Lepisosteus oculatus: one gene and its partners. The protein of the gene in region 4 interacts with the protein of the main gene of each other region in a pairwise test. Links are inferred from orthologs where the notes say so. Each region holds a gene or a part of one and is shown on either strand. Other genes may lie near its edges.

Region 1 (7,282 bases), on a different chromosome or scaffold from region 4:
GTCATGTCCAACCTTCCCAGCAATTTCCCCACAGAGACTAAAGAAACTGAAACAGACAGATGTTCCATCCTACGAAGCTTACCTCACAAGGAAAATTATATACATGCCACATCTACAATCTGTATATAAATACCATAATGGGATGCTTTGTGTCTACATATTTTTGTCTTTTGCCCAACATTACACAAACCCCCGCTACAATGCTGAGAAAAGAAACACATCCTCCCTTTATTACAAAACACAAATCGCTGTAAATTATGGCACACGGGACCAACTGTTTTAAGATCACATTCTCTCACGAGCGCTTAATTCAACGTTGCCCACGACAGACCCTTCAGCACTTCTGACTCCGGTGCAAATCGGGAATCAACCTTCGGAATAGCTTCCACATTCCTTGATAACACAAGTCCCTTGAGGAGAAAGGGACAAAAAAAAGTTCAAATGGGCTATTTTCAGGATGGCAGAGAAGGAGGTTCAAGACACAGGAGATTAAGCTGTGGACATTGCTTTGTACCCTTGCATCCAGATAAAGCACTCAGCCATGGGTAAAGGCAGCTATGAGTTTTGAACCAGTCCCTCTTTGGTTTCAGGGAAAAATGACAATTTTGAGGGTCCTGTCTCCAGCAACAAAATCACAAACGAAACGCAAGAACTAAAGCGAAATCATGGGGGCTTTGTGGCAAACTGCCTTTTAAAATTTCCCGTCTACCCAAACAATGATGTTAAAGCGTCCATTTACCTTAATTAACCACACACATTACTGGAGTGGTATTTTAACGTTAAAGTTAAGTAACATAGGGGAGAAAGTCATATTGCTGTTTAGAAACTGGGGCTGATAAAAAGGAGTAAAATTGTGGATTATTATCAAATTAACTTTAAATTGTGTTCATTAGAGCCAAGACTCGCCTATAACCATGTAAATACAGACACAGAACCCAAAGTGTTCAATATCAAGATAATGAAACCGCGTCCCTCGTCGAATAACCATTACAATTCACATTTATGTGTAAAAACTGAAAAGCGTATAACCCCTTCATGCATTTATGCACAATCTGAAATCCTTCCTGTTGGAAATTAACCCTTGAAAGAAAACGAGAAAAATCTAGCACGCGCGATTGTGCATGCACAATCAAATACGATACTTGATATTTTTAATAGACGTATTTTGTATATCAACCGATACGTGTGGGTTTTCTGACACGCCGTTGCGTCACAACCCATATTCCCGGGGGAAAACAAATTATTGATACTGCTCAGTCACCTTAAAAACCAATCACAGCCGGGACCCGATTAATATGCTTAGCTCACCAGCAATCACATTAAAATGTTCTTCAAAAAGACATCAGATTAGCTTTTCTAAAATCCGACGAATTTGTGTAATGCTGTCGAGCAAGACCCCGAGGGCATTTTGTGTCAGAGAGGTCAACCCCTTAATTCGACAGAAATAAAAAACAATGTAACATAAATACAGTTGGCATAAATACTTGATTCGGGCTGAGAACGTTTTATTCTAGTGCGTTCAGGTCACCGAAAAGTGAACCCTCGGTTGATTTATATTTATAGTTTTCAATTAGCGACCATCGCGGCAAACACCAGGAGGCAAGAGGTATTTGATTATGTAGCAGCTGACCTCATCGATGGCAATTTTTTTAAAGATGCTGCTGCTGCTGCTACTACTACTACAGTAAATTTTTAAAAAATACATCTACCGCAACTCGAAACAGCTCGCAAGCGTCGCCGACATCACAATATCGCAACTTCAAAGGCACAGATGATCAACTCCGGAGCAAAATAAACGTCTAAAATCCCCATTTGTTTCTCATCACCCGCAAGTGGGGGGTCAAAAATGGTCTGGCTAGTCACAGATTTCGGCTTCAATGTATTAATCACCGGACTGTAATCATGATCAGATGCACTGGGTTGTTTTAAACTCTCCGTTCCACCAAAACGGACGCGATATCTCTTTGCAAAATGCAGCGAAACCAAGTTATTTCTTTTCTGTGCTGCGTGCGTTTGAAATGCAAGGCTGGGGCTGCCACTCTTTAAACCTATAGTATGATCTTCTACATCCTGCATGCTGGCAGTTTATTCCAAGACACCCTCCTAGAAAATAACACACCACCGCATCAAGCAAGCCATGATTGACAGATGACAAACCTGTTTATTAAATAACACCGTGCCGCCATGCACACATAACTCGGCAGAAAAAAAAAATGTTCCAGTAGCTATGCACTTTTTGATCTTTATTGATTTCAATTTGAACTTTAAAAAAACTATTTAAAGAGACATTTTTACAGGTTTACGCTGATACTGACGCTCCCTGTATATCCCTGCATCTGGCATATGCTTCCTAATAGGGGAGTTTTTTTTCCTCCAAAATCTATACGAATCTAGATATTTAACGTTCTGATTTATATCAGTTTTTACTTTATCGTGTTACAACTTACTGAATCATTCCCAGTCCGTTTCAAATGTTCAACCCCCACCGTACGCATCCATACACACTTACCACACGTCTTCACCACAAGCACTACATTCCTCAAACTACACCCGCATTCCTGGAAACTGAACATATGTCAATGCAAACACACCGAATGGGTCCAAAAACCTCTGCAGCAAAGGAAAGAGCTGTAATCTGGACTTGAGCAAAACATCGCAAAGGGGAGCACAACATGAGAGCATCAGCAATATCCCTCCTCTCGTTTTCCACAGCCTTTTCCAACCCGAGACAGGTCGCTCGCCTCTCAACGCCAGCCCGTTTACCGAAAACCCACTCCAACTTACCTGTATGTAGTTGTTTTCGCAGTAATCTGCGACTCTTTCGAGGTTGGTGTAACTATCGAGCAAAGCTCTCCGTCCTGCCGGAATTTCTTCTTCCAAAAGCATCTGTAGCTCCGCCATCTTTACATCTTTAACACACTGAAGCGCTGGCAACACAGGAAGCAGGGAGGCATACAACTTCCTCTCCTCCGATGTGGGAAAGGTGTAGTTACTCAACTGGAGAAGGTTTTTTGGGAGGGAGCGAGGAGAACGATGTCAGGAAGTTTGACACTTAAGTGTGTGCTGTCACCTGTTAAATGACGTGAAATATAAATAGGTTTGCATCCACAGAGGTTTTAAGACGCTAATAAAAAGTGGTGTTTTTGCTACCCATCCTAATAGAGACACACAAATCACAATCACCGTTGTACTCAATGATTTTGTGTCATTTATCTTCACATTTCTTAGAGGTTTATAACTGTTTGGAGGAAACTGGAACGAAACATATTATCATACCCCGTTCCAGCGTTATATTCGCAGAAGCTTTTGAATAACTTTGCATTTGTTCATTGCAATTCAAAGCCTTGGCTGTTGAAAGATGGCAACAGTTGTACGTACATCATTTTTATCATTCATTTATGGTTTTAACTGAGAATGTGTGGCCCTGCAGTAGCATACTGTAGATGCACATTGAAGCCTAATCTGGCTTTATCAGCTAGTCCAATCTTTTGTGGGATGTTGTAAAAAAAATTGCCTGTTGTAGACCCAGTTATCAATAACTGTTCCTAGTATTGTATCTTCCCCTTCTTCATTAGAAATAACTTACAAAACTAAAGAGAACGAGAAGCCATGATTACCGGCAGCCTAAGGCAATATGAATAAGGGGTCATAGTATTTGGAGGTCAAAATGTGGACCTTATCCTTTAAATTCTGGTTTCATTGATGAAGATGCGTTTTGGTAGTTTTAAGAGATGAATGTTTCTTTCCCATCTTTCATTCAGCCACTTGTGCAAGAGATAGCACAGTATGTTGTATGCTGTCATTACTGTGCACCAATTAATCTTTAATGTCATAGGGGTTATCTAGAGCAACATGAGTCACACCTTGAGTCAATGCCTTTTCCAAATAAGCATGTCCTGGCATGTTTAACACAGGATTTAAGCACTCACACACCTCAGAACAATTTATTGTGTTGAAGCTGGCTGAGAAAATGAAAGGTGTGTGTTGCTTGGAGAGGCTTGACTCCTTTCGTTACACTATCAGCCTTTTTGTTGATGCAAATCAAAGGTTAAGGTGAAAATAGAATAGTGCTAGAAAAGCTGATACATTTCTCCTAGTTTAGTTGCTTTATTAAAACTAATTGGTGATACATTGATGGAAACGTTTACTAAGATGATACAGGTAGGTCTATGAATGGTGGTGGTCGAGGGGAGTCCCCATTACCTGTAAAGCGCTTTGAGTGGAGTGTCCAGAAAAGCGCTATATAAGTGTAAGCAATTATTATTATTATTATATGAGCACGGTTGAGTATTTTGATAATCATTGCCTAATAATGCTGGAGGACCAGTAGAGGGAGCTGCTTCTTTTGTTGACATCCATTCGTACTTTCCTCACAGTTTTAAGCCCTTCATGCTACATTCTTTCTGTGGCTTTACTTACACTATAAACTATAATATCAGAATTTAAAACCGAATAAACTGTATAAGAAAATCTGTATACCCGGCAATTTTTGGTTTAAGCACAGTGAAAAAAGTACAGAGGTACTATTTCGATTTACACGTAGCATCACAGAAACAGCCGTTGTGGAAAATCAGAAATATGATCTTCTGCAAACAATTAAAAAAAATAATCCGTTTTTTTTTTCAGGTATGAACTGTTGCTGGAAAATTGTGGAGTTTCATCTGTTGTCTTTGGATTGCAAAAAAATAGAAATGCTCAAACTGTTCTTCAGGTAATTTGGCAGAATTAGTTTACAGTCAAGTCTTCATTGCTGAGAACCAAATGCCATATTCCCTTTTGCTGACTGCTAAATACAGTTTTAGACAAATCAAATTTGAGGCCATTTCAGTTGTGTCCAGATTCATGTCTAACAAACATTCTCCGACTCTGCTGTTTTCTTAGGAAAATGTCTCAGAACTTTTCTGCCTTACTATTATGGAGAATAAGCTTGCATTCGACTTCAAGGTTGGTTTGAAGAAGCTTAAAGTTTAGCTTAAAATGACTTATTTCTGTTTTACTTTTCTCAATTTTATTTAAAGTAATACAGGACACCAGCTCACTCTTCTGATTATGTAGACAGGCAGGTTTTCGTGTGGCATCTAATCAGATTCCGCATCTCATCTGTAGCATTCCTCCTGTCTGCAAAAAAAATGTAGTTTCGAATAAGACAAAAGAACATAAAAAGGGAGTAAATATAAGCTAAAGTCATGGAGGGAGTGTGCAACTGAATTGCTTTTTTGGTTTTCACTTTAAAAACCTGGACAAGGAAAACTGCATTTTTGCAGCCCAGAGCTAAAGAGACACTTTTCCTCTGCAAATAAAAAAGGTCTTATTTTAATCAGACAAAGGGACATTTAGCCTATGTCTCTTTAGGTACAAGAACTGCTGTATGGTCATCAAAATATAAAAATAAGGGACTCTCAGGCCTCTCTTCTAAAAATGTATTCTTTCCAATTGGCTTATGGCCTATAAATTGATGAGACAGTGTTAAATTAGTTAATTCTTTAATAATTAGCAAGCTGCTTTTAACTACCTTGCTCCAGTCAGTTTCCAATGAACCTACCAAGAACACATTTCGGAATCACTGACTCTGTCTCAGCAACTTAACATGGTTAATAAACCTGGCCTTCGCATCTGAAAAATAAAGGATTGCTGTGAACTCACACTTACATTTGCTCGTTCCATACTCCAACAGCCCTTTGTGCAAAGAACAGCCTCTTTTTGTCAGTTTTCAATGCACTCCCACAGAGTTTTAACTTGTGCTGGGTCCTCCGATTTATGTTTCACAAGTCCAGTGGGTTGAGTTTGTCACTTCTTTTGAGGATTGTGAAAACTGGGACCAGGATCAGGCACATTATTCTCTGTTCAAACATTCAAACAAAAAACTCATTGCTTTAGCCAGTGCCAAGTCTGTTAATCCACCTGGATGCTCTTCTCTGGACATTCCAGAAAATAAATGTTAAATCGTGCTTTATTCCTTTCACTACAACATAAACAACTAACATAAAAGACACAACATGCATTTGTCAGGAAAAGTGAATTTTGTTAACACTTGGCCCTAAGCTGACTCTTAGTAGAATATAAAGAAACTCAGACATGTAATCACTTTTTTATACTGTATATGGTCACATTTGTCATTGTTTACACTCTCTTATTAAAATGACTATTGGTTTTAGTTAAATATTATTTGAAGGCATGAATGTCTCATTTAACATTAAATTAATATGCAGTGCTGTATGGATTAAATTTTAATTAAGTGGCATTTACTGCTTCATTTTACACTGGTGGTTTTTCCTGGGGCAATGGGTAGCTCCAGGAGTAGCTACAGGGACAGCTTGTCTGTATCGAAGGATCCTGGGTTAACTCACAGAAACAAAAGACTTCCTCCCCAAGCCCATCTGTTTGTAAAATGAGCATTCTCTCAGCTACAGTGATATTTGGACCTAAAGTTCTGCTTTAAAGTTAATTTTAATTATTCAACATTGCATTTTTGTTTGCATTTTAATTAGAGATTAATTAATACTGGCATTAGGGTCTGCTACAACACTTACCAGACAATGCTGTCTCTTTGGACCAGAGTGATGCATAGACATAGAGACAGTGTGCACCACTGTTCCTAGGCTGATCCCAAACAGCTGTGCACACTGGCTGAATGCCTCTTTGGTTGGATGTCCTTGGTTTGATGCACAAATGGAGAAGCTTAGGGTCTCCCAGTGTCATGTGAGCATTCACACGTGTGAGTTTTCACAGCACACAAATGGCAAATAGTTCTTTCCTGTACACCTTCCTGAGGCAACCATGAGACTTCTTGTGGTACTACAGAAGTACAGGGGTATTAATAAATGAGATGTAAATGGGGTGTCCCAGTGTAAAATGAGTGAATACTTAACAAGCAATGTCTGGTTATCTGAGTTAAACCACGTTTATCAGTCTAAACTAATAATAATATTAGTAGTAAAATAATTATAACATAATTATAAACTAATCATATGGTAGTAGTGGAGACCTCATGTGTCAAACTCTCCCATTAGCAACAGCATTTTATTTCTGTTTTAGTGTTTTTCTTAGCTTTCACAAATGCATCAAACTATCACCTAAAGCACACACATGAAGATGCAGTTTTATTTTTTCCAGTGACACCATCTTTTTTTCTGCTCCATTAATTCTCTACAATCAGAATGTAGTGTTCCAGCACCCTAACGGATACTGCCAAGAGGTACATTTCATTTCATCGCACAGTTGTTTGTTGAGAGAGAACTGCTTTGATGTTGCTGAGTTCATAGATAAGGTAAGGAGAGGTATA
Region 2 (7,600 bases), on a different chromosome or scaffold from region 4:
TGTATTACCGAGGACACGCAGGTGTTTACAATTTCTCAATAAAATTTGCGAACGCTTGCACCTCTCATGTGTGGATGTGGTACAGGCCATTCCGGCCTCGCTTGGTTAAGTGCCTTATTGACTCGATGTCTTAGAGACTGTTCTTTTTTGTAAAGGTGGAACCACAATTTCAGACGTTAAGGAAGCGTAACAAAGAACAGATCCTCAACAACTACATGTTTAAATGTGAACATTTAAATTTGTGGCTTGCGCCGCGTGCAATTTTCCACGTTTTGTAAGAGGGAGAAACAGTTCAACTGAAACCCTTACGTAGGTAAATGAGTAATTAAGGCTAAAGCATACCCGCGCACTTATATCCCCAAAATAGATTAAGGACTTCACAAGTGCATAGTTAATCGTTTAACTTTTTTTCCCATTTTTAAATATCCAATTCACGTATACAACAGCTTAGTGAGCTTGTCATAGGACGCTAGGGTAAGGAATAAATATGTCGTTTTAATCATCTATAACAAGACAGGGTGAGGAAAACAGAGATGAGAGAACCATTAGGTAACTGTGGTAACTATCATAAAATGGACCACATTTTTTTACATTTCATTTTTGAAACTTTACATAGAATGCATGGCAATACTTTGATTATTTCTTTTTACTTTAATCCCATGAGTAACTCCCATCAGAAGCAGTTGTCCATATAGTGTAATAAACTAAGAAAAATGTGAGGAGAAAGGAGGTACTTTATAGAGTGATTCAAAAAGTACAGCATCCAGTTAAAGAAATGGAGCACAGTTAAGTGAATATTTCCAACCATATAGGGTTTGGTTAAAACAGAATATCCCAGAACACAAGAAAGAGAAAAAAAGAAAATGGAAAGAAAAATAAATGCAATGGAGAGTAATAAATAAAGTTTTATTTTGTTAAGTATTGTGTCATGTTGTGACACGTATCATGTCGGCAAAAGAATGGTGCAGGATAAAAATTATGTCTCAGAGATTATGATAATGGCAAAGTTTCTGAGATGATAAAGGAAATGGCTGATGAATGAATATTTCCCTGGGGTCTTCGGCAAGGAAGAGATCAACAACATGCCCCAAGCATGGGAAAGATGAAGTTCTATATTTAATAGTATTAGCATTAAAATGGCAGGAATGTTGTGGATACTAGAAGCACTGAATACTGCATATACAAAGCTGTAGTCATCTTTCAATCGTAATTAAGAAGACAAGATATTTCTCAATGCAAAGAGATTTTTACTGATTTAGTCAGTGATTTTCATGTGCAAAAGTGTTTTGTGTCCTGGTGGATGGTATATCTGTGTGGTACTGCTAATATTAGTGGTACAGTGTTATTTGCTCATATGTCAGTCTAAATGGAGTAAGCCACTAGCTGAGGGACTCTGGGAAACCTAGTGTAGCGAACAAGTTTGTTAATCAAGTAATTAATAATGGATCAGCTGATCCTTACCACTGAGGTGATGTAAAATCTTGGAACAGCTGTGGGTCAAGTCAGAAAATCTGTATGAAATTACTGAGAAAGAAGCCAGAGTTTAACCTGTGTCAATGAAATATTGGCACTGTTCCTGAGGCAGGATTTGCTTGGCTCACATGGTGTAGCCTTCAATGTAGCTTTCTGTTTGAGTGGAAAGGATGTGGGAGATGGTTAAGGTAAGATGTGTTTGTCATGTACTCTTGTGCAAGCCTTTCTTCTTCTTCTTCCCCTCGTTTCTGTTTGTCTGTCTCCTTTCTCAGTCATTATCTCCAGTCCTGCTCCTTATCTCCTTGTCTGTGTCTCTCTACTTTCCTGAGATTTTTCTCTCCCTCTCAGATGGAATTTTCCCCGGTGTTGTTGAGTCCTGATGAGGGTGTGACTGGGTGTGACCTTTCTTGACCTTCTCTTTGTGTTTGTTCATGGCCTGGTAACTCCTCCCCAGTGTCCCCCCTGCTATTCAAGCTGCAGTGCTGACATGCTGGCAGGTAGGCTGCCGGGGGTGAGCTGGACACTCTCTGCATCCTCCTGCCCCATGCTGACATGTGCTGGGTGAAAGGTGGACCGAGCCAGTTCAGCAGAGTTGACCACCACCAGGAACTCGGCTCCATGCTAGTACTGTAGGCCTTCTGTGCCTGACACTCAGGTACAGCCCAGTGGCAGCAGCGTTCACTGAAAACAGCAAATCAATTTACAGTAAATCAGTTGTGAAAGCAGAGCCAGGGCGTTCTCAAAGGCAATGACATTTCAAATAAAATAAACTCAATTTCCATTAAGTATATCCAGAAAGGACATTTTAGCCTTCATTGTCCTTTCAGGAAGACAGTTCCAAAGCCAATGAGTTTATTGACTGAAAGCACTGCACATAAAAACACCCAAAGCATCCAACGCCTACAGTACAAAACATGGAAACTTATTTTCTTCATCCAAGGCATGGATTTCAATGCATTAATAACTTTAAACTCAAGAGGCACTTACGGCTAAACCTGAGAGGAAACTTTATGTATTTATACACTCCAGTATGAACCTACTTACTCTCCATTTGTAGGTATGGAGCTCGTAATTGCAAAGTGGGTATTTGATGATCTGGCACATAGGGAGCCATACTGATTAGTAATGTAGCCTTCTCCTCTTGAAATCAATGCAATACCTAGTGGTTGCCTAGTGGTAAGATTTGAAAGAGATCACACGTTGAGTAAATGAAAGGTTTAATTTGTCAGGACTAATCTTGCCCTTTTCAGGGAAGGTCATGTCAGAAAGGATGTCAATTATTTTCTTAGGCAGCAGTGGGCAAACAGGAGGCATAAGGCACCATGACAAGGTGCGCACAAAGACAAGACACAAACTTGTAAAGAAGGACATTACATTCATGAATCTTTATAGCTATAATAATTAATAATAATTGCTTACATTTATATAGCGCTTTTCTGGACACTCCACTCAAAGCGCTTTACAGGCAATGGGGATCCCCTCCACCACCACCAATGTGCAGCATCCACCTGGATGATGCGACGGCAGCCATAGTGCGCCAGAACGCCCACCACACATCAGCCATCAGTGGGGAGGAGAGCAGAGTAATTAAGCCAATTTATAGAGAACAATTTATACGTGGTGAACAAAAACACAATATCAGAGCGTAACAGCAGTTGGAAACGAGAGGAGACCCATCCTGGAAATTAACAGCTAATTGATCAGAAGAACTCGTCCAGCCATTTCTTGGAGGAAGAGTATGTTTCTCTTTCAGCATGGCTGGGTAGCTTGTTCCACATTGCCACATGCCTTTGCATAAAGAAATACCCTCCGTTCGCAGTTTTATATCCATTTCTATGTAGATTCTTCTTGTGTCCTCTAGTAACGTCCTAAGAACAGCTTCTAAATTATGGTAGTGCGCATCATAAACAGCTAACTGTGCAATGTCCCAGAACGCAATGCACCTCTGCACTATACACTTTTGACTTGGGCTACCGTGTGTTTTTGTTCACCACGTATAAATTGTTCTCTACCGTGTTTGTATTGTTCTGGTTGTTTATTGACTGTACACACTATCACTTTCTATTCTGAAACATTTTGTAATGTACTGTCTACATTGTGAGGTGTTTTCTGTTGGACTGTGTTGTTTGCTGTACTGAGATAAACACGTGAAGAAGAATTCCAATGTACATGTACATGTGGCAATAAACTCCTCTACTCTACTTTGTGTTTTATCATTTGTTATTGTCAACACAGATATTACAGAAGAAATAACATTAGCCTGTTTAGTGGTTTGTGCTATATCAATCACAGTTGTTAGAAGAACAGCTCACATGATTGGAGCCGATTTTTGACATTAAAATGTGAGGTATTTCAATATGTACAGTATGGGTTTTGTACAGGGACACCATTTGTTAGTGTGTTATTTTGTGATCATAGCACACCGTCTCCCACTTATTTTTAAACCCAGATTTCCTTATGATGACATTCTTCATCATTGGTTATTGTGAGACTGCATTTTAATCATCACTGTTACTAAAAATTATCGTTGTGTAAAAGAATGTATACGTTTCAATCAAAAGTATTGAGATTAATTACACCAAAGATGGTACTTCTTAATGAAACGTCAGTGTCCAAATAACATGGTAAGATGTCTTCCTGATGTGTTGTGGTTGTTTTTAATTCACTTTGAATAACGGACACACACAAATGCATCATTTATTAGTGGGAAATTATTTTGTTTTAAATGCCGAATGTTTGTATAAGACTTCAATTATTTTGCACTTAAAACAAATGTGCGGTGATAGAATAACGCGGTTACAACACATTTCAAATGTTATTCCTTTTTCCACCTCAAAAGGGTCGACGGGCAAGTTAGAAATCACGCCGTTTCCGAAAACCCCAAAACTCTGCAGTCCTCGACACCCCCACCTTCAACTCACAACAGACAGCCATGTTGGCTCTAGCTTCGGGATTAGATCAAGGAACGGGAACAGGCTCTGTTTCAGGAGCCAAAATGACCCGCGTTTCATTCAACACCGTGGGGTTTGCTCGGAGCCAAGAGAAACTAGGGGAGGGAGCGAACGTCCTCTAGCTGTGATCGGATAGGCGATCGGTTAGTTGCGACTGCGGACGACGGGAAGGCAGTGAGGAAGGCGAAGAAAAAAAAGTGTCTTTTTTTACCTCCTCCGACAGAGAACCAACATCCCTCATGATCTCATGAATAAATTATAGCAACCCATTGTGCAACACCGAGGGAGGTAAAGCCGTGGAGTCGAGGCAAATACTGCCTGTGCACAGAGCAGCGAAACGAGTCGCGTTGTATGTAGGCTAACTCTCACTCTCCACTCATGCAGTGTCCGGGGACGATCTCTAGCGAAGCTCCCCGCAAGCCACCCGCGTCCAGGCTGAGCTCCGGAGCTCTGTCGCGTTGCTAAATAACGAGAGCCGAGAACAGGGGGGGAAAACGAAGGATTACAAGAAATAACGACATGGAAAATACAACTTAGCCGAGGTAATCGAGGACTGCGAGCGAAAAAGGGGGAAAAGGAGGAGAGGAGCGGAGGAGGGGGGGGGGAGGTAAGGTTAAAAAAAAGAACACGCACCGTTCCGAGTGGGGAGTGGAGGACGGAGGAGAAGCTGCTCTCGCCTTCCGCGCAGTGCAATATTTAAAAGGAGTAGCGCGTGCTGCTGCCCGGAGATTCCTGCAGTCTGAACCCCGGCGCGCGGCGACCGCAGGCAGTTCGCGTCCAAGGTAAGAGACTGACGCTGCGTCCACATTGTTGCTGCCATCGGCGGCTGCTCCGTGTTTGATGTGCGTATATGAGTGTGTGCGTGTGGTTTTGTTTTGTTTTTACCACGATGTATTGATTTATAATCGTGCTCCGGGGAGAGGGCGAATGAACGGACAACCCGATCTGCGATACCGGATCGGCGTGGGCTTTGATTTTTTTGTTGTTGTTAGAGTGTGAGAAATCCGAAATAAGAAAACAGTTTTTTTTTTTGCCGTCGTTTTTAATGGTCGTTTTCGTGTAGTTCGCGGTGTGTTACAGGCGCTTTAACAAAGGCCCCGCGGTCGAGACACCTGGTGTGCCTTTGGGAAATACCACATTTCTAAGAAGGAAAGAAAGAAAGAGAGAACTAGTTCCCGTACATCAGTGTGTGTTGGTATTACAAGGACGTACAAAATGTCTTCCAATTGTTATTTCATTCTGGGCACACGTTACTGTGCGACTGAGCTGGCTGTACCTAGCCTGCCTGAGTACGACCTGCCTGCCCGATGTCTGGCAGTCACGTTTTTTGGGGGGTCTTTTTTTGTGCTATTTACCCTCCTCGTACTTTTCTGCGTCTTGTCACTCGAGATGGGGATGCCGTGAGAAATGTTTTTGTGCTGTAGCGAGGGTATTTTAAATGGTGCTGGTTGGATACCTGCCGAGCTCTGGAGACCTGTACCCAGCATGCGACGTGAATGATGCCGCGGTTTCGTGACGAAAAGCAAGATTGGCCAGTTTCGTAGTTTTGTTTTTCTCCCCCAAGGATGTTGGCTTCTGATGATGAAGCCCGTCAAAAGAATTCAGCAGAGCGAGTCAGAAACTGTTAAGATCTAAGTTCTTGGCTGTAGAGTACGCTTTCTCTGGTAGATGGAGTAGTTATTACAGTAGAAAGTTTCCAGGTGTTGAGCATGTATCTTGTCGGTAGTTGGCTATGGAGGCAATTTTGTGTACACTTTTTTTTGTCGTCTCCTCGGAATTCAGCACAGACTTTCTTGTTCTCGGAGGGCTACGATTATCGTATTGTAGCCCACTTTTGAGACGGCGTCCACCAGCGCACTGAACCCCCTCATCCGATCGCGTCTTGTGGCGGACAGCTGGGTCGATACCACACCTCCACCTGCTCCTCACAGCACGGATCACTCGCCCATGGCTGTCCACCAAAACTCAGGCAGCGTGTGTCGGTGACTTGTTAAAAGCCCTGTGCAAAAACGTCATCGGACTGACCGCCTGACCCTATCGTTTGTCACTGCAAGAGTTTTAAAAAGAGTTCGCTCAGAAATGGAGACGACTGCCCAAATGCCATTGACTAATCTGTTACCTGTTAGCATCTGCGAGCAGGGCTGCATCTCGGTTTTGTTCAGAGACGGCTGCGGCTCTCAGTGTTGATTACTCATAATATGCTAAAGTTCAGATGGCGTTTTGTGTTTTCACGAGTGCGAGGACCCTGAGCTCACTCTGTCCATGTGGGTGGGTAGCGTTCGACCCGGGGTTGCTGACTGTGCTGTGAATTATTGATAACGGTACATGACATTTTGTGCCAAACTCTGTGCTTAAGACCTGTCGAGAGAAATATGCTAGTGCAGACTTATGCTCGGGTGTGACATTTTGCTTTCAGTAAGTGATTTAGTAATAGATCACTCCTGGGGTGACATGAGGGTATTTTTTGTTTGTAGGAGTTAGAGTGAGTAATATTTTGTGAGGTGACTTTGGAATAAAAAAAAAGTTAACTCTAAGTGAGTGCTGCTGTGTTCTGTTACACTGTGTAGTAGTTCATGATGCTTTCATACTTATGTGCTTTAGTGCTTATTGTAATAAAAGCTCCCGAGACAGGTCAGTGCTGTGTGTATCCTGCTGTGGGACTCATTTCTCTTGGAGGGGCTGAAACGCCCTGGCGAAGTACCAGTTCTCTGATCAAGGGACTCGGCGATGTCTGGGGTGAAATGAATTTTGTGTGGCCACTGTTTCTTTCAGACGCGGGGTTGAAATGCACGCGCTGGCGCTGTGCGGATAGTTTCGGGATTGTGCCCTTTCTCTCCTGTGCGTCAGGGTGAGACTCGCTTGTGCCCTCTGCCCAGCTCAGTCAAGGCTGTCCTGTCTGCTGCGAAACCGTCGCCTGCCGAGCTTTTCGAGAGGCAAGTTTGATTAGGCTGAATGTGGATGGCCTTGCCAACTCATTGAACACCCCTCTCTCTCACACACACACACAGATCTGGTAGCTCTCCCATCTTTTTTTCCCTGTTCTCCTAAATGAGGAGTGTCCTGAGCTCGGCTCGGCCCCGCCCCGCTGCCAGTGGTCCGACTGGTCAGTCTTGCCACGTCTTTCCAGCTCGGGGGGGCTGGGTGGATGGACGTGCTAGGACAATTGTGTGCTCTGT
Region 3 (7,621 bases), on a different chromosome or scaffold from region 4:
CGTGTAGCTGCCCTGGGCTCTGTAGCCACTCTGCTTGATGCTGCTGCTCCCCAGCTGCCGGTTGTACTGGGAAGTTGGCGGCATGGCGTAACTCTTGTAGCAGTGGGGCGTCTGGCTGCACTTCTCCACGGCCGGGTAGGAGGGCGTTGAGGAGGAGAGAGACTGGGAGTGCTGGGGGAAGTGCATGGGCCCCTGGGTGTAGGTCATGGGGGACGGGGAGGTGTCCTGGGGCAGTTTCGCTTGGGGATGGGTGGTGTAGACGGGGGGGTTGGGCTGGGTGGGGTGGGCGCACTGGCTCTGGGAAATGGGGAGCAGGGTCTGGTCGAGGTACTGGCCCCCGCCGGGCCCGCCGCCGGCCGCGGGCTCCAGCCGGCCCACCAGCTCCTGCTCGTACTGGGGCAGGTGCGAGTGCGCGGAGTCGTCCCACTTCTGCGGCAGGTGCCCCTCGCTCATGTACTGGGCCGGGTACGCTGAGCCCAGGTGGCCACTGTAGCCGCCGGCGGAGGGCCCGCTGGGCAGGAGCTGGCCCGGCAGTTTGGTTCCCTTGTATTGCTTGTCCGCGGGGGCCGAGCCGCTGCCGTAGGCCGGGTAGGCTTGCTGGCTGTAGCAGTCTTTCGTCCCCGCGGCCGCGAGCGAATGTGCCTCGTAGCCCTGTCTGGTCTGGCTGTGATGATGTCTGTAATTCTCAAGGCGTGATAATTCATGTGTCTCCTGCTGGTAGCACTGCTGGTTGCCATGGAAACCACTCCGTTCTCTGAAGGACTGCATGACTCCGGCTCGGGCTCCTCTCTCTACAAACAAAACACAAGAGAGAGTGCTTACTTCCAGCTCCCCGCGCTTGTGTGCTTATATTTACCCCCCACCCCTCCTCTGTCTGTGGTATCGACTGACGTGAAACTCTCTTCGGAACGTTTTCGGGTGTCGCGTCCTCTCTTTAAGAGGGGCGAGCTGGTATCCCGCTCTGTGCTTTATGGGCCCACACACGCGTGTGGTGCTTGTCTATGGCATGACTCCGAAATACCTTCTACCTTGAAACACTCTTTATTGAACCGACTAGTTTCTTTAAAGGAAAAAATACAAGTGAGCATTCTAAGCACAAAAAATAATTCATTTGCACCGAAGCGCAGAAGCACTGAAGCACGCAAGCAAAGCTCCTGACTAGGGGGAAATGTTGTTCCCTGTTGAATTCCCGATGCTTTTGTGATGAGGGCTGGAGAAACCTGGAGATGCAGCCGCTGCCACAGCAAAGCAGAGTGATCTCTGTTTGCAGCACAAGTCCAGAGTCCCAGGCTGCTTCGGGCTGGTAGCTGCAGCGACATGCCAGAACCGTGAGATTCCCAGTCGCCACCCCTTCACCAAGGACGAGGTCGCTGGGAGGTTGGGGCCACTTTTAGACATGGCAGGAGTAGAGGCCAAGACAACATCGTTATCGCTCGGGCAGTGGGCAGCACGCCGGGTTCTCACATGTGGCCACGAAGGAAAAAGTAAAGTAAAATTCCACTGTCGTCTCTTGAACCGAGGGTGTGCGTAGTAAGAAATCTACATGTTGTGAGACGATGAATATTAATTAGCTCTGGCTGTTGCACAGCACCAGAAAGTCAACCTGTCTGCAGAGATTTCTGATCCTGTTCTGTGCATGTAAATCGGCCGTGGAAAGATGTTACAATTACTGTATGTTAAGGCTTTGGCCACTGAAAGGTTTCTATCTACCTGTCTCTAACTGGCCTTATCCATTTATGTTCTCACAGCTGAACCCTATACAGAGTCACGAGGGAGCTGGAGCCCATCTCGGAAAGCAACAGGCACAAGGCTGGGTCCAGCGCGGGGCACACAGACACACACTGGCACCAGGGCCGGCTGTCCCAGACAGCGCTTCGGCTGTTGGCAAGTCTCTGGACTGTGGGAGGAAACCCACGCCAACACGGGGAGAACATATCAACTCCACACAGACAGCACCCCTGGTCTGGAATCGAACCCAGACCAGACCAGACCCAGACTTGGCCAGCTTCCTTGCTAGCTAGTTGGCTCCAGCGTTCTGATTATCTTGCAGAGCCATGAAGAATAAACAGCGCAGAGTGAACAAGGGTTGGTGATGCACACAAGGGGAGACGTGGAAATGAAGAAGGCAGGAGCACCACCTCAATCCCCAGAGCAGGAGAGTGCTCTCGTTTTAAATCGACCTCTCCAGCCTGCCCCTCACTCCCTGTGCTGCTGTTGGATATTCTTATCTGAACTGCTTGCCTTTTAGGACCTGTGGGAGGCAGCTGATCAGGAATCATTTTGACTCTGCAGACAGAGTATTGCATTTTGTTCTTTGCACTTCAGTACTGAGCCTGCTGAGAGATACAATAAGCATCGATTGCGTTCCTCTTATCTGTCTCTCTTTGCTGTGCTTTCTGCACCTGCTGGGCCACCGCATTTCCTGGTTGACAGCAATATGTGTGGCAGCGCCCTGCTGTCCGCTGGTATAGCTGTGCTCCCAGTCCTCTCCAGATTCCTGCAGCCGGGACATGCTGGTGACTTCCTGTTTATGTGCCAGACTGTGCAACCTTGATTGATTTTGCACAGGTGCCCCTCAGAGCCTTGGCATAGCCCAACCTGGGCTGTGTGACAATGAAGAGCAATGCTATTTTTGTCTCAGTACTGACCGTAATCTGAATGATATTCTATTGTATTTCATTATACTGCAAGATGAGCGTGATGCTGTGTCCTTTTGGAAGGTAAGATGACTGTTCAGTAGGATACATTTTCAAACTCTTAAAATCCCAAATTGGATTAACTCACAAACACGAAACGGCCGTCCTTTGTGGAACAGACATAAATGGACTTTATATGCATCAGGTATTACAGCTGATAGCTGACAGCATTCCAGGAAGATACAATCACTAAGTGCTGGCTTCCAGTTTCACCTGGCCTGAAAGCAGGCTTTAGATGAACTCACACGGTGTTTGAGCCTTGGAGTCTCGAATGAGAGAGCGCATCAGTCCAAACATGCAGTTCAGCTTTTCGGGATATTCCGGTCCCCACCGTTCCACAACCTTGCCCTGCCCAGCTCAGTATTGCTTCATTAGCTGCTAATTTCTGCAATTATGCACAGCAGCGGAGGAGTGCAGTCCATCACAGCGCTGGTGCCCGAGCCCGGGAGGGTGGCGAGGAATGTGAGCAGATCCCTGGCTCAGAGGGAGGCGGAATCCGATCGTTCTGCTTTCTGGGAGATAATCCGGCACGCACGGAATGTGGCGGCCTCGCCTGATCCCATCATCCCTCTGGCAGCCTGAGACGGGATTTATCCTCCTCCTCCGCCTCCCCCTGCCCGGGTCTCTGAGTGACGCCGGAGCCCCAGCGGGACTCCAGCGCACCTCCCTGCTCACAGCGCAGTCGCCTGCTGGAGCTGCTGGTGGGACTGGGAGCACAGGGCTCCTCCAGGACCAGACACAGCCCAGCACAGCTCTGCCCTCGTTTTGTACTGCATATTTACGACCTTGGAATATGCTAATTCTTCTGTTTTTATTTAAAGAGCCTGTTCTAAATGAGATTGTGTTTTCCCCCCACTTTCTTTCCAGTGTGTTTGTATCATGAAATTACAAAATGCTTCTAGTTGGATGTGTCACACAGCTTGGTTACTCTCCAGGAGTATTCTCTGATCCCCACATCATTTGCAATTATTCTGAATGTGGTTTTATTTTTTTTCACGGACGAAGGACCAGCTGCTGCTGTCGCTGGCCCGATCCCTGCGCCCGGCTTCCTCGGCCGGGGGAGACAGCAGGGCTGCAGCTGAGAAGAGGCTGATCTGAGGAAGAGCTGATTAGCTGTCGGTAGCGTTGCAGTGCTCACATTCATGGAAAGGCTCTCCTTCGAACCCGGGACAGAGTTAAGAGTAGTGCAGCCCCAGCCACCACCAGCGCAGGTGGGCAGTGGCAGCAGGGGACTCAGCTGTCCACCCCAGCGGCCAGCGCTGTCCACTCTGGACCTCAGGGGTCACCACTGTCCACTCCAGACTCAGGACCTCAGCGGCCGGCGCTGTCCACCTCAGCTGCTCTCTGGACCTCAGCGGACGGCGCTGTCCACTCCAGCTGCTCTCTGGACCTCAGCGGCCGGCGCTGTCCACTCCAGCTGCTCTCTGGACCTCAGCGGCCGGCGCTGTCCACTCCAGCTGCTCTCTGGACCTCAGTGGCCGGCGCTGTCCACTCCAGCTGCTCTCTGGACCTCAGCGGCCGGCGCTGTCCACCTCAGCTGCTCTCTGGACCTCAGCGGACGGCGCTGTCCACTCCAGCTGCTCTCTGGACCTCAGCGGCCGGCGCTGTCCACTCCAGCTGCTCTCTGGACCTCAGCGGCCGGCGCTGTCCACTCCAGCTGCTCTCTGGACCTCAGTGGCCGGCGCTGTCCACCTCAGCTGCTCTCCAAACTGTGTCATCAAGCGCCAGATTGTGAAAACAACCTCCGGCACACACGGAGCCCCTCTCCAGAAGGTGCTGTCAGCTCCCAGCACTTCAGGGGTTCAGGTTACTTGTAAACCTGTATTCAGAGCTGGAAACACAGTTTCATTTTGTTTCTAAAGGTCTAATTAAGCAAATTGCCAGTGTGACTGAGTGATGGAGTAATTGAAACCGCAGTAGGAAGGGAATGCGGAAGACAGCGGGAGCCCCTGCACTAGGGCTGGGGAAACCCCGGAGACCGGAGCCGAACCGGGCCGGGTCACCAGTCCCTGGACTGGACCTGGGGGCAGGCTGTCGGCCAGACCTGAGGCTCACCGCAGTCAATCACAGAACTACAGAGTCGGTTCTGGAGAATTAGAACAGTAGAGACATAAACGGGAGTAAAAAACAGGGCAAATGATAGTAATTGAACAAGCAATAGAGAGAAAATTGCTGTCTGATGTGCGCCAATCTAATTACGGTATGCTTGTAATTAGTGTTAAGTATTTATCTTTTAAGTTAAGGAATTCATTAGAGGATTATTAATGACCTCCCTCTCTAGTTGTGCGCAGTACACCGAGAACATGGCTGTTCCTCAGCCGTGCCCGCCCTGGGGGTGTGTTTCGCCCGACGCGCTCCGATGCGTCATCCGGGAGCAGACCCGGCCGCCCTGCACGAACACCCGGATCGGGACGTGGAGGCCCGTTTCTGGGCTAAGAAAACCCGTTCTCCTGCCCTCGGTTCGGTTTCGCACGCCGAGAGCGACGCCGCGCAGGGCTGTGTGGAGAGGGCAGGTTCCCGGGGGGCAGAAACAGCTCGGTATTCAACAGGGGGCACTACCTCATCTAACCAGCAGGGGGCATCTCATCAGCCCAGCGGACGGAGTGGCTCTGCGGTACTGAGCCCTGGTATACAGTCCTGTGGTTGTGCTCTGCACACGACGAAACGTGGCGCCCTATACAGAATTAAAAGAGTGAAGGATTAATTGAGCTATTAGTGTCGGGAAAATGTCCTGGTACATTGCTGTTTTCAAATTTGTGAATTTGTAGGGCGCACCTCAAATTTCGTTTTGCCATGGAGAGTAAGGAAACGTTCTTATTTTTTAGAATTCGTGTCTGGTTTTACCCAGCCTGCGTGAAACCCCACGGCCGCCGGTCTCAGACTCGCTCCTCTCCGGCCCGCCTCGCCACCGCGAACACGAGGCGCAGACCAGCTGGGGCTCTCGGCAGAGCGACAGCCCGGTCCGGGCCTGAGGGCCGGAGAGCGGCTCCACCACACGCACACAACACCAGCGATCAGGGACGCTTCGCTTCCTACAAAACGGCAATTGATATTCGAGACACAGCCAGGACTGCTTATACGACAGCCAATGGGAGGCTAGAAGACCAGCTCAGCGACGTGTGGGGATCACAGGAATGTTCTTTTTCTGGCGTGCAGTCAGATGAGTCTCCCCCTGACAGTGTCAAGGTGTTCGGGGCATTGCTGCTGTTACAGGAAACAGGCAGAGCTCCTCGCTTCGCTTTAATAAACACAGCGCCGCGCTGACAGAAGCCCTGTCGGGGTACAGACTGGTTCCCTGGGCGCTACCTGCCGCTCCAGGTGGGTAACCTGCGCACCACGTGCTCGGTGCGATACAGCAAAGGGAGTGACATATTGTAGTGCTGTGTCTCGACCCTGTATTTAATGAAGAACGGGCATCATACACCTTTACACCGCTCTCACTCTCGTATGCCCACAAACAAGGCTTCTTCATGCAGTGTGATTCGATTTGCACAGGGCTGATGGAAAACGTACTTAAAATGACAATCCTGAATCGATGCTCGCTTAATCGATGGATTCTGCTGCTGCCCGATGGTTGATAAGGGCTTTGCGCACGTCAGCACAGACTCCAATCGACACCTCCTGCGCCCAGCTGGCGCGGCCGCTGCAGGTGGACAGTCCGGCCGAGGCCGTTTCCCTCACGGGATTAAGAAAGTCTCTACCAGCGGGGTCCCCCTCTCTCACTTCCCGAGCGGGGTGCGAGGGGATGTACCCCTGCAAGCCTGTGGAGGCGAATGAGCTTCCCGGTCCCCAGGGACAGCTCGTGCGCCCGGCGTTGCGGGACGAGGGAGGGCGCGAGGCTGCCTTGGCAACGCTCCGAGCGTGTTCCTCGCGACTGGCGGCCGACGCGCGCCGCTTCCCCTCCTAGCAGCGCTCACACGCACCGGTGACATACTGCACACCTTACAAAACAAACAAACTAACAAACTAACTAACAAAAACGAATGGGGTGTCACGGATGCATCGTTCTTCGCCCTTCGCTTTGCATGCTGCAGGTAGATACAGGACGAAGGGCCTGTGGGAAAAAACGGTGCATTTCGCCGCAAACCAATCACAGCCCTGCACGAGCGCGTCTTGTCGCACACGCACGGGAGCAGCGGGGCTGCGCGCGAGAGGGGCCCAGGCCGGCCTCGCGGCCCTTTCCCCCAGAACAACTTTAAACCGTCGTCACGAATTCAAATAATCAAAGACATCGTCATTGTGATTACTATGATTACTATTATGAAACAGCAAAGGCCTCTGGGAAAGCCGGCAGCGTCGCGGAGCGGAGAGGGCGGAGAGTTGCGGAGGGAGTTCGGGTCCGAACCTCTCGCGGGGCACCTGAATCCCGGACTCTGGACCGGAACCAGGGGTGGGAGAAGTAAGAGCGTCACGTTTATTCGACGGTACCGCGGGGCTGCGCTGACCGGGCGGCGTGAGGCCCGCTATTCCGAGACGTGACGTGGTCCCGTCGAGTATAAACAAACGCGCCTCCGGTTTCGCTGGCTGTGGCTCGGCTCGGCTCGGCTCGGCTCCAGACCCGTTTCTAAACCTTCCAAGCCGAGGACACACGGACGAAGCCCAGAAATAGGAAATGAGCAAGCCTGCCGCTTCTCGGGGTCGGAGGGGACAGGCCCTGGTCAGACCTCACTGGAGGAGGAGCAGCAGGGAGCCGCACGAATGCAGGTAAAGGGTTATTCCGGGCCGAGAGAGTGTTTCAGCTGTGGAGCCACACAGCAGAAGAAGGCTCCACAGCTGAAACACTCTGTTCTCGTCTTTTCAGTATGTATTGAACTTTTACCTGTGTGCCCCCAAGTGTAGCAGCGTGCTCACAGTGGATCTGCAGACACGCTTTTAATAGTTCCCACTTAATCATAGTGTTATTCTGGATGAATTTACTTCATTAT
Region 4 (6,883 bases):
AAACGGAGGAAGGCCGATTACACGAGCTCAACACTTCCTGCCAAAATAAGGACCGGCATCACCTGCGCTCCACCGTACTCAAGTTACTGATCATCCCCACCTCCTTCTCGGGCCAAAAGCACACTTGAAAATGCGATTGTCATTACAAAGTAACATCTCTATATAGATGACTGAGCGGGGAGCTACGTCAGCTTGCTCTGGCTGCAAAGGGACAAGTAGAGCTTAACTCCGCCCTGAAAAACAGAAAGAGGAAAACGTTTTGGCTGTCAAGCCTGAAGAAGGAATTAGCCTTCACATACTCCTACACAGACTGACTGTGAGCACAACAGTCCTTACGGAGAAACACAAAGAAGTCCTTGGTCCTAAAAGACCAAAGAGGGATCACGATCCAGCGTCACAGTTTCACTTCTCACTGAACCGCTGCACCTCTGCCGTGAGGCGTGGAGTCGGAAGGACAGCGACAGACAGGGACTCACCTCGGCCGAACGTGCCCAGGTCTCCGCCATTGCGCGCCGAGCTGCAGTCGCTGAACTGGGACGCCAGGCTCTCAAACTCCTCCTCCCCGGACTTGATCTTCTCGATGTACTCTGGGAAAGGAAAAAGGGAGGGAGACAGTAAGACTACGAGGGGGCCTGAGGGCCTGGAGAAAGGAGAGGAAAAGCAGAGCGACCTCCTCACAAACGCTGACATCCTCAAAACGGTACATGACTATGGAGCAGCGGCGTTTTATTTGCAAGTAAAAACGTGATTTCAGGAGACATAAGTAAGAGCTGCAGAGTTAAGAACACTCAACTTACTAAATGCTCACTTGAACTCTTTGACTTAGATGTTGCCAAATACTGATATGCCTGTGCCTCCTCTTTTTTGTGCCCAGTGATTTGTCACAGTCTTGCACTCTATTCCTGGTAATTCTACTAGGATGGCTTCCTCCAGAAGATAAACATCAAAAAGAAGACCAACCAAATCTATTCCAGGGATTAAGGAAACGTCCGACACTGATGGGCTGAAGGAACTGTGGATGCTGCACATGGTGGTGGTGGACAGGAGTCCCCATTACCTGTAAAGCGCTTTGAGTGGAGTGTCCAGAAAAGCGCTATATAAGTGTAAGCAATTATTATTATTATTAACTGAACCTTTTGAGGTCTTCAGAGAAGACCAAAAAGGAACAATACAGACTTTCAAAATCTTCAAAGGCGTCAACAAAGTCAGCCCAGTGGTGCTCTTCACATTGAACAGCGAAACCCGAACCAGGGGAAGTGCACACAAAACCAAGAACAGGAGGCACTTCTTTACCCAAAGGGTGGTGGGAGTATGGAACAAGCTGCCCTGCCGTGCTGTTGAAGCCAATTCCTCTTGGCTTCTTGCAAGAAACTGCTGGCTGAGATCCATGGATTACTGGCTACTGACAATCAAGCTAGCTAGATGGGCTGAATGCTCTCCCTCTCCCCCACCCCCCGTTTGTAACTGTTCTTATGGCCATATTCTAACGCAGCGGGGCTCAGGACAGGAGTCAGTTTTGCTGTGTGCAGGACTCAAGAGCTGCGCATGCACATGCTAATAGGCGGAGAGGGCCCCGAGTCTCGGGCCTGGGCTGCTCACGGTGTATGAGTTCCAGGGCCTCCTCCTTCGTCCGGGTGACGGTCTCCTGTCGCCAAGACGACGGCCGGCGGGACTGGTTGTGCTTGACCAGCAGGTGGGAGCAGCGCACCTTCTCGGGCTCCCCCTTGCCATCCCCGGCCCCAGTGGGCCTCTCCCATTGGCTGGCGTTGGTGATGTGATTGAAGTAGTACACCCGACCTGCAGGGGGAGAGAGAGAACATCAGGAGTGAGCTAGAAGCCAGAAACCAATGAAAATAAGACCACTAAAAAAAAAAAAAAAGATATGAGGGCAGCCTAAAAAAAAGGAAGAAATACTTTTTATAAAGGGCATTCCAAGTATTGAACTCCCATACAGCTTTATAAAAATTAAAAGCTTCCAGAGTGCCCTAACACAACGACTGCGTGTAAGTGTATTGTACACATCAGTAACGAGCTCCCAGTCAAGAGGAGTCATAGGTAATGAACCGGACCTGGACCGGACCGAGTGATGTCCTCTTTCTCAAACTGTATTTTGATTACACTGAGTTTGTCTCCCCAATTCGGAAAGCAGGTGACTGGACTGTCTGGAAGCCAAGAGGCATTATCCCGCACGTCCATTGCGGTCCCATTGCTGCCGTGACGCAGAAGACGAATCCGTCAAAACAAACACAGAAACCGAAGGATGTGCTGCGCCCGACGGAAGGTCATTTCCGTCAACAAACCTTCGAATCGATCTTATGAGCCTGTTTATTACGGGAAAAAAACCGGACAGGAGACTGACTTGGCCTGGACGTTTGAAGGAGTGGGCGTTTTGGGCGATTTATAACCCCCGCCCCCCTCCTCCCCGTTTTCAAAACGTTTCCCTTTTCTTGTGTTTTCATTTTAAAAATGTGCTTAAAAGCAAAACCACAGACTCATATTTCCCCATCAATGACGGCTTGGCACAATTTTAAACCCTCTTTCGGCAAAGGCGCAAAAAAGAAGCTCTGCACCGTTGCTTTCTAAGCAACTCATTCGCAACGCATTCAAAACACGAAACTATCTCCTGCACCCCACAGTGCGTGTGAACAAACATTTTGCACGGCGGGGGAAATTAAAAAAAACATTATTTGCAGCCTTACTTAACAATTTTAATTGTGATCAGAGTCTGCTCTTCAGGATCCGAATGCTAGCGCATAACGGACTTTTTTTTATAAATAAAAAAGTTTACAATTTGGGAGCGCCCAGGGTTAAAAAAAACAACCAAAAAGATTTCCGCCCCTTTGTTATTATAATCTCGGTGAGCCTGGGTTTCATTTACCTGAACTGCGGCTCATTCGCTTCTCCCACCCCGCAGGTAAATTCTCGTCGTCTGCCATTTTCTCTGCGCACACCAGAGGCCAACTCCCCCTCTTCTCACACAAACTACTTTTATAACTGGCCGCCTCGAAAGTGACGGGCAGCTTTTCCTACCACCCTATTCGACAACACGGATAGTCGGGGGCAGTAAGGGCTGTCACTATTTGGTCTCCCAGGGAAAAAAAAGCCCGCGCCCGCAATGAATACAAACTACAAAAAAAACTACTGCATTGTGTTGTTCGCATTGCAAATAACTGGTGGTGCCGGTTCATATCTACTGGTGTATTGCCTTTAATATGCAATTTCTACGGCTTGCTTTTATACAATTAGTTAATTTATCTAAACACTATTAAAATTAATTTATAATAGTTGTATGTCGCGGTCTTTATCTGATTTTGGAAACAACAATATTGCCGAAAATGTAGTTATGGACATTAAGGTTTTTAAGAGAAAGACACTAAAGTGAAGCTGTGTCTGTGTGTCCGCCATGTTGGCTTCCAACTCGATACATTTTAGCATCTGATGGACGTTACACGACTGAGCCAAAATGGCGTTAGTTGCAATTTACCCGCAAAACGAGATGTTATTCACGTTAATCTAATACACTTTACGGCAGAAAACTAACATGCTCAAATCCCCGCCTTTCAGGATTAAAAGAACACAGGGATTGGCTAACATATACATCTGTCAGATTCCGAAAGTAGTCTATCATTGGTTAATGTCCTTTCCTTTTCCGTTTTAGAGCGGGTATCCTTCCTGCCAGTGTTGGTATGGTATTCTGTTATTTTTTTCGGTGGGCGAAGAGAAGTGTATTATTTAAAGTGGATTAGTTGAAACAAAAGGTAGATCTATTTTATCGCGATCTTTACAAAGTGCTGTCATTTTATAGTGTGTTCAGGACATTCCATAGCTAAGGAAAGTCTCATTTAAGATGTTCACAGCATTGTGCCGTAAAGTAAATAAACGTGCAGGTAAATTAATGTTGTCTCTAATTCAGATAGCGTCGAGGAGGGGGTGATTAGATCATGCATGACTGCAGCAGTTTCATTCTCATAGGGATCGGCATTGCGGCACAAGAAGAGTTGTGACGGCAAATAACATTCGTGTAGCTGTAGGAACTACAAGCGTGTCTGTGCCATGATCCCAGCTGCGACTGTAAGCGCTCTGCGTCTTTATTTCCAGGTTCCGGCCTCGCAATGATTGAAGTGGTGTGTAACGACCGTCTGGGCAAGAAGGTCAGGGTGAAGTGCAAGTATCCTTGATGGCAGTAATTGCGTTAAAACAAGTGTCTCAAAACTAAAAACAAACGCTGACTGCACTATTTGTGCCTCCAATGTGAAAGCTCGGTGTCCTAACGCCGTTCAGTAAAAGCTAGCTTCCTCACCTGGAATACAATAATATATGTGATCTATCTAAAGAAAGTTTTATTTTTAGTTACCGCTTCAGTCTTGATGTTGTTTTCCTCTTCGGTTAATGAAACCAGTCTGTTTTTCCTTCAACCAACTTTTCCTCTTCCAACTGTCATATTTGCTGGTCACTAGTTTTAGAGAAGTTGTTTCTAGAGGAGGTTTGACTAAAAAGCTTATTCAGACGAGGCTTTGTGTCCAGTTCTGAAGTTTCCACTTAACTCCTGCGCCCAGCCCTGACGACACGATCGGAGACTTGAAGAAGTTGATAGCTGCTCAGACTGGTACCAGGTGGGATAAAATCGTCTTGAAGAAATGGTGAGGATGCTTTGAATACCGAACTGCAAAAAGCTGTTTTAATGTGTACCTTTAGGGCATTTGTGTGTGTATCTCAAGGATAAAGTGGTCTAGATTGGTAAATTGACAAGTACTTATTTATCCTTTCTGCAGAAAAAACAGGTCATTCTGTCACAGGGGACTGCAGTATGGGATTTTGGAGAAACCTGTAAAGATAACAGAGTAGTGAACACCTTATGCCTTTGTTCCCTATCAATACACTTGGAATGTCCAAGACATGTAAAAGAATGTTAGCTTTCTTTCATTTAGTGTAAGAAGCATATTAAATGTTTTGAAGGATGTCTTTTTTTCACCCAGTAGCATTTTCAATGCTTTGTTTCACAACTGAAAACATTTTTAATCCTGTCTCTTAAATTCTGTCATTGCAGGTACACTATATTCAAGGACCATGTATCGTTAGGAGACTGTATCCTTTTTTTTAATCGTTTTGTTTGAATGTATAAAGTAAAGGTATATCAATCAGGTTTAAGATGAGCCTCCCTGTTCTGAATAATTCCTTGCACTTTTCTGGACACTCCACTTAATGTTTAAGTATTGGGGACTCCCCTCCACCACCACCACCACCAGTGTGCAGCCCCACCTGGATGATGTTACAGCAGCCATAGCGTGTCAGTACACTCGCCACACACCAGCTCTCGGGGGAGGAGAACAGAGTGATGAAGCCAGTTCAGGCATGGGGATTATTAGGAGGCCATGATTGGTAAAGGAGGAATTCTGGCCAGGACACCAGGGTAACACCCCTAAACGTTTCAAGAAACGCCCTGGGATTTTTAATGACCACCGAGTCAGTACCTCAGTTTTATGTCCCATCCGAAGGATGGTGTCTTCCTACATTACAGTGTCCCCGTCACTATACTGGGACATTAAGACCCTCACAGACTGCAGGGTGAGCGTCCCCTGCTGGCCTCTCTAATACCTATTCCAGCAGAAACCTTAGTTTCACATGCAGTTACTGATCATGCTCACCCCTGCTTAGCTTTAGTGGTTTGCCAGTTGTGAGTTGCAGGGTGATATGGCTGTTGGCATAATCCATTGGCCCAGTTTGCTGAACTAAATACATACAGCTAGCATTAGCATTTGGTGATGAATTTCTGCAGTAAAAGTGGCAAAACTATTATGTATCCCATTGAGATCAAATGCAAAGTAACTGTTATGGAATTGATTGGTTTAATCGAGTGATGGTTGTGCAGGCAGGGCAGGCTGGGTTCTTGCATTTTGAAAGGTCCGCTGAAAGCCTTGAGGTGCTTTTGCTTGCATAATGAATACAGGCTGTTTAGACTGGTGAGCAGGAGATCCTAGGAACCCAGGAACCTGTAAAATTTCAGCCCAACTTGCAGCACAAACTGCACGTGACCATGTCAGTTTTGTGAAGCTTGCACACATCTGTGATTTCAGACATCAGCATTGGCACCTTGTGTCTTAAATGAATTATCCAGAGCATCCCAATCAAGACTCCTTAGTGCCAGGCTCTGGGATGAGAAAATGTTCAGTAAGGTTATTTAACAACCTTTGGATTTGACAGGTTGATTAACAGTTTCTATTGCAGGTTGTGAATACTTACTGTACATTAAACTAATTTAGTTGCAAAACATGACTGGGGATTTGCAAAGACTTATCAGATTTTTCCTTTGATCTATTGTGCAGCCTGTGATTCAGCCTCCATTCTGTTATAGTAGTAGTGCTTTGGTTCTAAGCATGTAAGCAGCAGAGCCCCATCAAGGGCATAATGTGCTTTTTTCCTTAATTTTGCTTCTCTAAACAGATGAAATCCATGATGGAATGAACCTGGAGCTGTATTACCAGTAGACATACTGAGCCACAAATTGCTTTAGGGATGGTAAAATTCCTCAGTCCTTGCTGAACTCGCAGATGTAAACCCTTTCTGAACATGCAAGTTTGTATTGAAGCAGCAAAGATACATTTTTTTCCATTGTTAATGATTAGGAAGTAAATTGTCTCAACATCAGGCTTTTGTTCTGCTAAATATTTTGTTTTGATATTGTTTTAAAAATAAAATCTGGTATTTATATACAACATGGTCTTTATGGACTTGGTTTGTCTGTGCTGGGCAGTGTTATTTAGTGGTTTTGTTCCAGCTACGTTCTGAATATCTTAATTAGAAAGCATTAACATGGTTTTGAGATTTTAAGTCTACCTATAAAACCTGCAAAGGAGTACTGGGTAAGCTTCTGGACTTATAATTG

What was found.
Region 1: the proteins of pin1 (region 4) and abi2b interact in binary tests that used the Homo sapiens proteins (3 or more experiments, as listed by UniProt). The link is inferred for Lepisosteus oculatus from reciprocal best matches to the Homo sapiens genes PIN1 and ABI2.
Region 2: the proteins of pin1 (region 4) and zmiz2 interact in binary tests that used the Homo sapiens proteins (3 or more experiments, as listed by UniProt). The two-hybrid records come from large-scale screens. The link is inferred for Lepisosteus oculatus from reciprocal best matches to the Homo sapiens genes PIN1 and ZMIZ2.
Region 3: the proteins of pin1 (region 4) and retinoic acid-induced protein 1 interact in binary tests that used the Homo sapiens proteins (3 or more experiments, as listed by UniProt). The two-hybrid records come from large-scale screens. The link is inferred for Lepisosteus oculatus from reciprocal best matches to the Homo sapiens genes PIN1 and RAI1.

Annotation. Positions count from the first base shown.
Region 1 is NC_090707.1:35,005,262-35,012,543, reverse strand, and holds the start of abi2b (abl interactor 2), read right to left. Parts: upstream 3,023-7,282; 5' UTR 2,902-3,022; coding exon 2,785-2,901; intron 2,683-2,784; exon of another isoform or gene 2,510-2,682; intron 1-2,509. UniProt on the Homo sapiens protein: Regulator of actin cytoskeleton dynamics underlying cell motility and adhesion. Functions as a component of the WAVE complex, which activates actin nucleating machinery Arp2/3 to drive lamellipodia formation.
Region 2 is NC_090697.1:69,338,025-69,345,624, forward strand, and holds the start of zmiz2 (zinc finger MIZ domain-containing protein 2), read left to right. Parts: upstream 1-4,584; 5' UTR 4,585-5,206; intron 5,207-7,600. UniProt on the Homo sapiens protein: Increases ligand-dependent transcriptional activity of AR and other nuclear hormone receptors.
Region 3 is NC_090714.1:17,528,540-17,536,160, reverse strand, and holds the start of retinoic acid-induced protein 1, read right to left. Parts: upstream 3,023-7,621; 5' UTR 2,942-3,022; intron 792-2,941; 5' UTR 769-791; coding exon 1-768. UniProt on the Homo sapiens protein: Transcriptional regulator of the circadian clock components: CLOCK, BMAL1, BMAL2, PER1/3, CRY1/2, NR1D1/2 and RORA/C. Positively regulates the transcriptional activity of CLOCK a core component of the circadian clock.
Region 4 is NC_090706.1:15,084,566-15,091,448, forward strand, and holds the start of pin1 (peptidyl-prolyl cis-trans isomerase NIMA-interacting 1), read right to left. Parts: upstream 3,012-6,883; 5' UTR 2,937-3,011; coding exon 2,879-2,936; intron 1,798-2,878; coding exon 1,600-1,797; intron 588-1,599; coding exon 477-587; intron 1-476. UniProt on the Homo sapiens protein: Peptidyl-prolyl cis/trans isomerase (PPIase) that binds to and isomerizes specific phosphorylated Ser/Thr-Pro (pSer/Thr-Pro) motifs.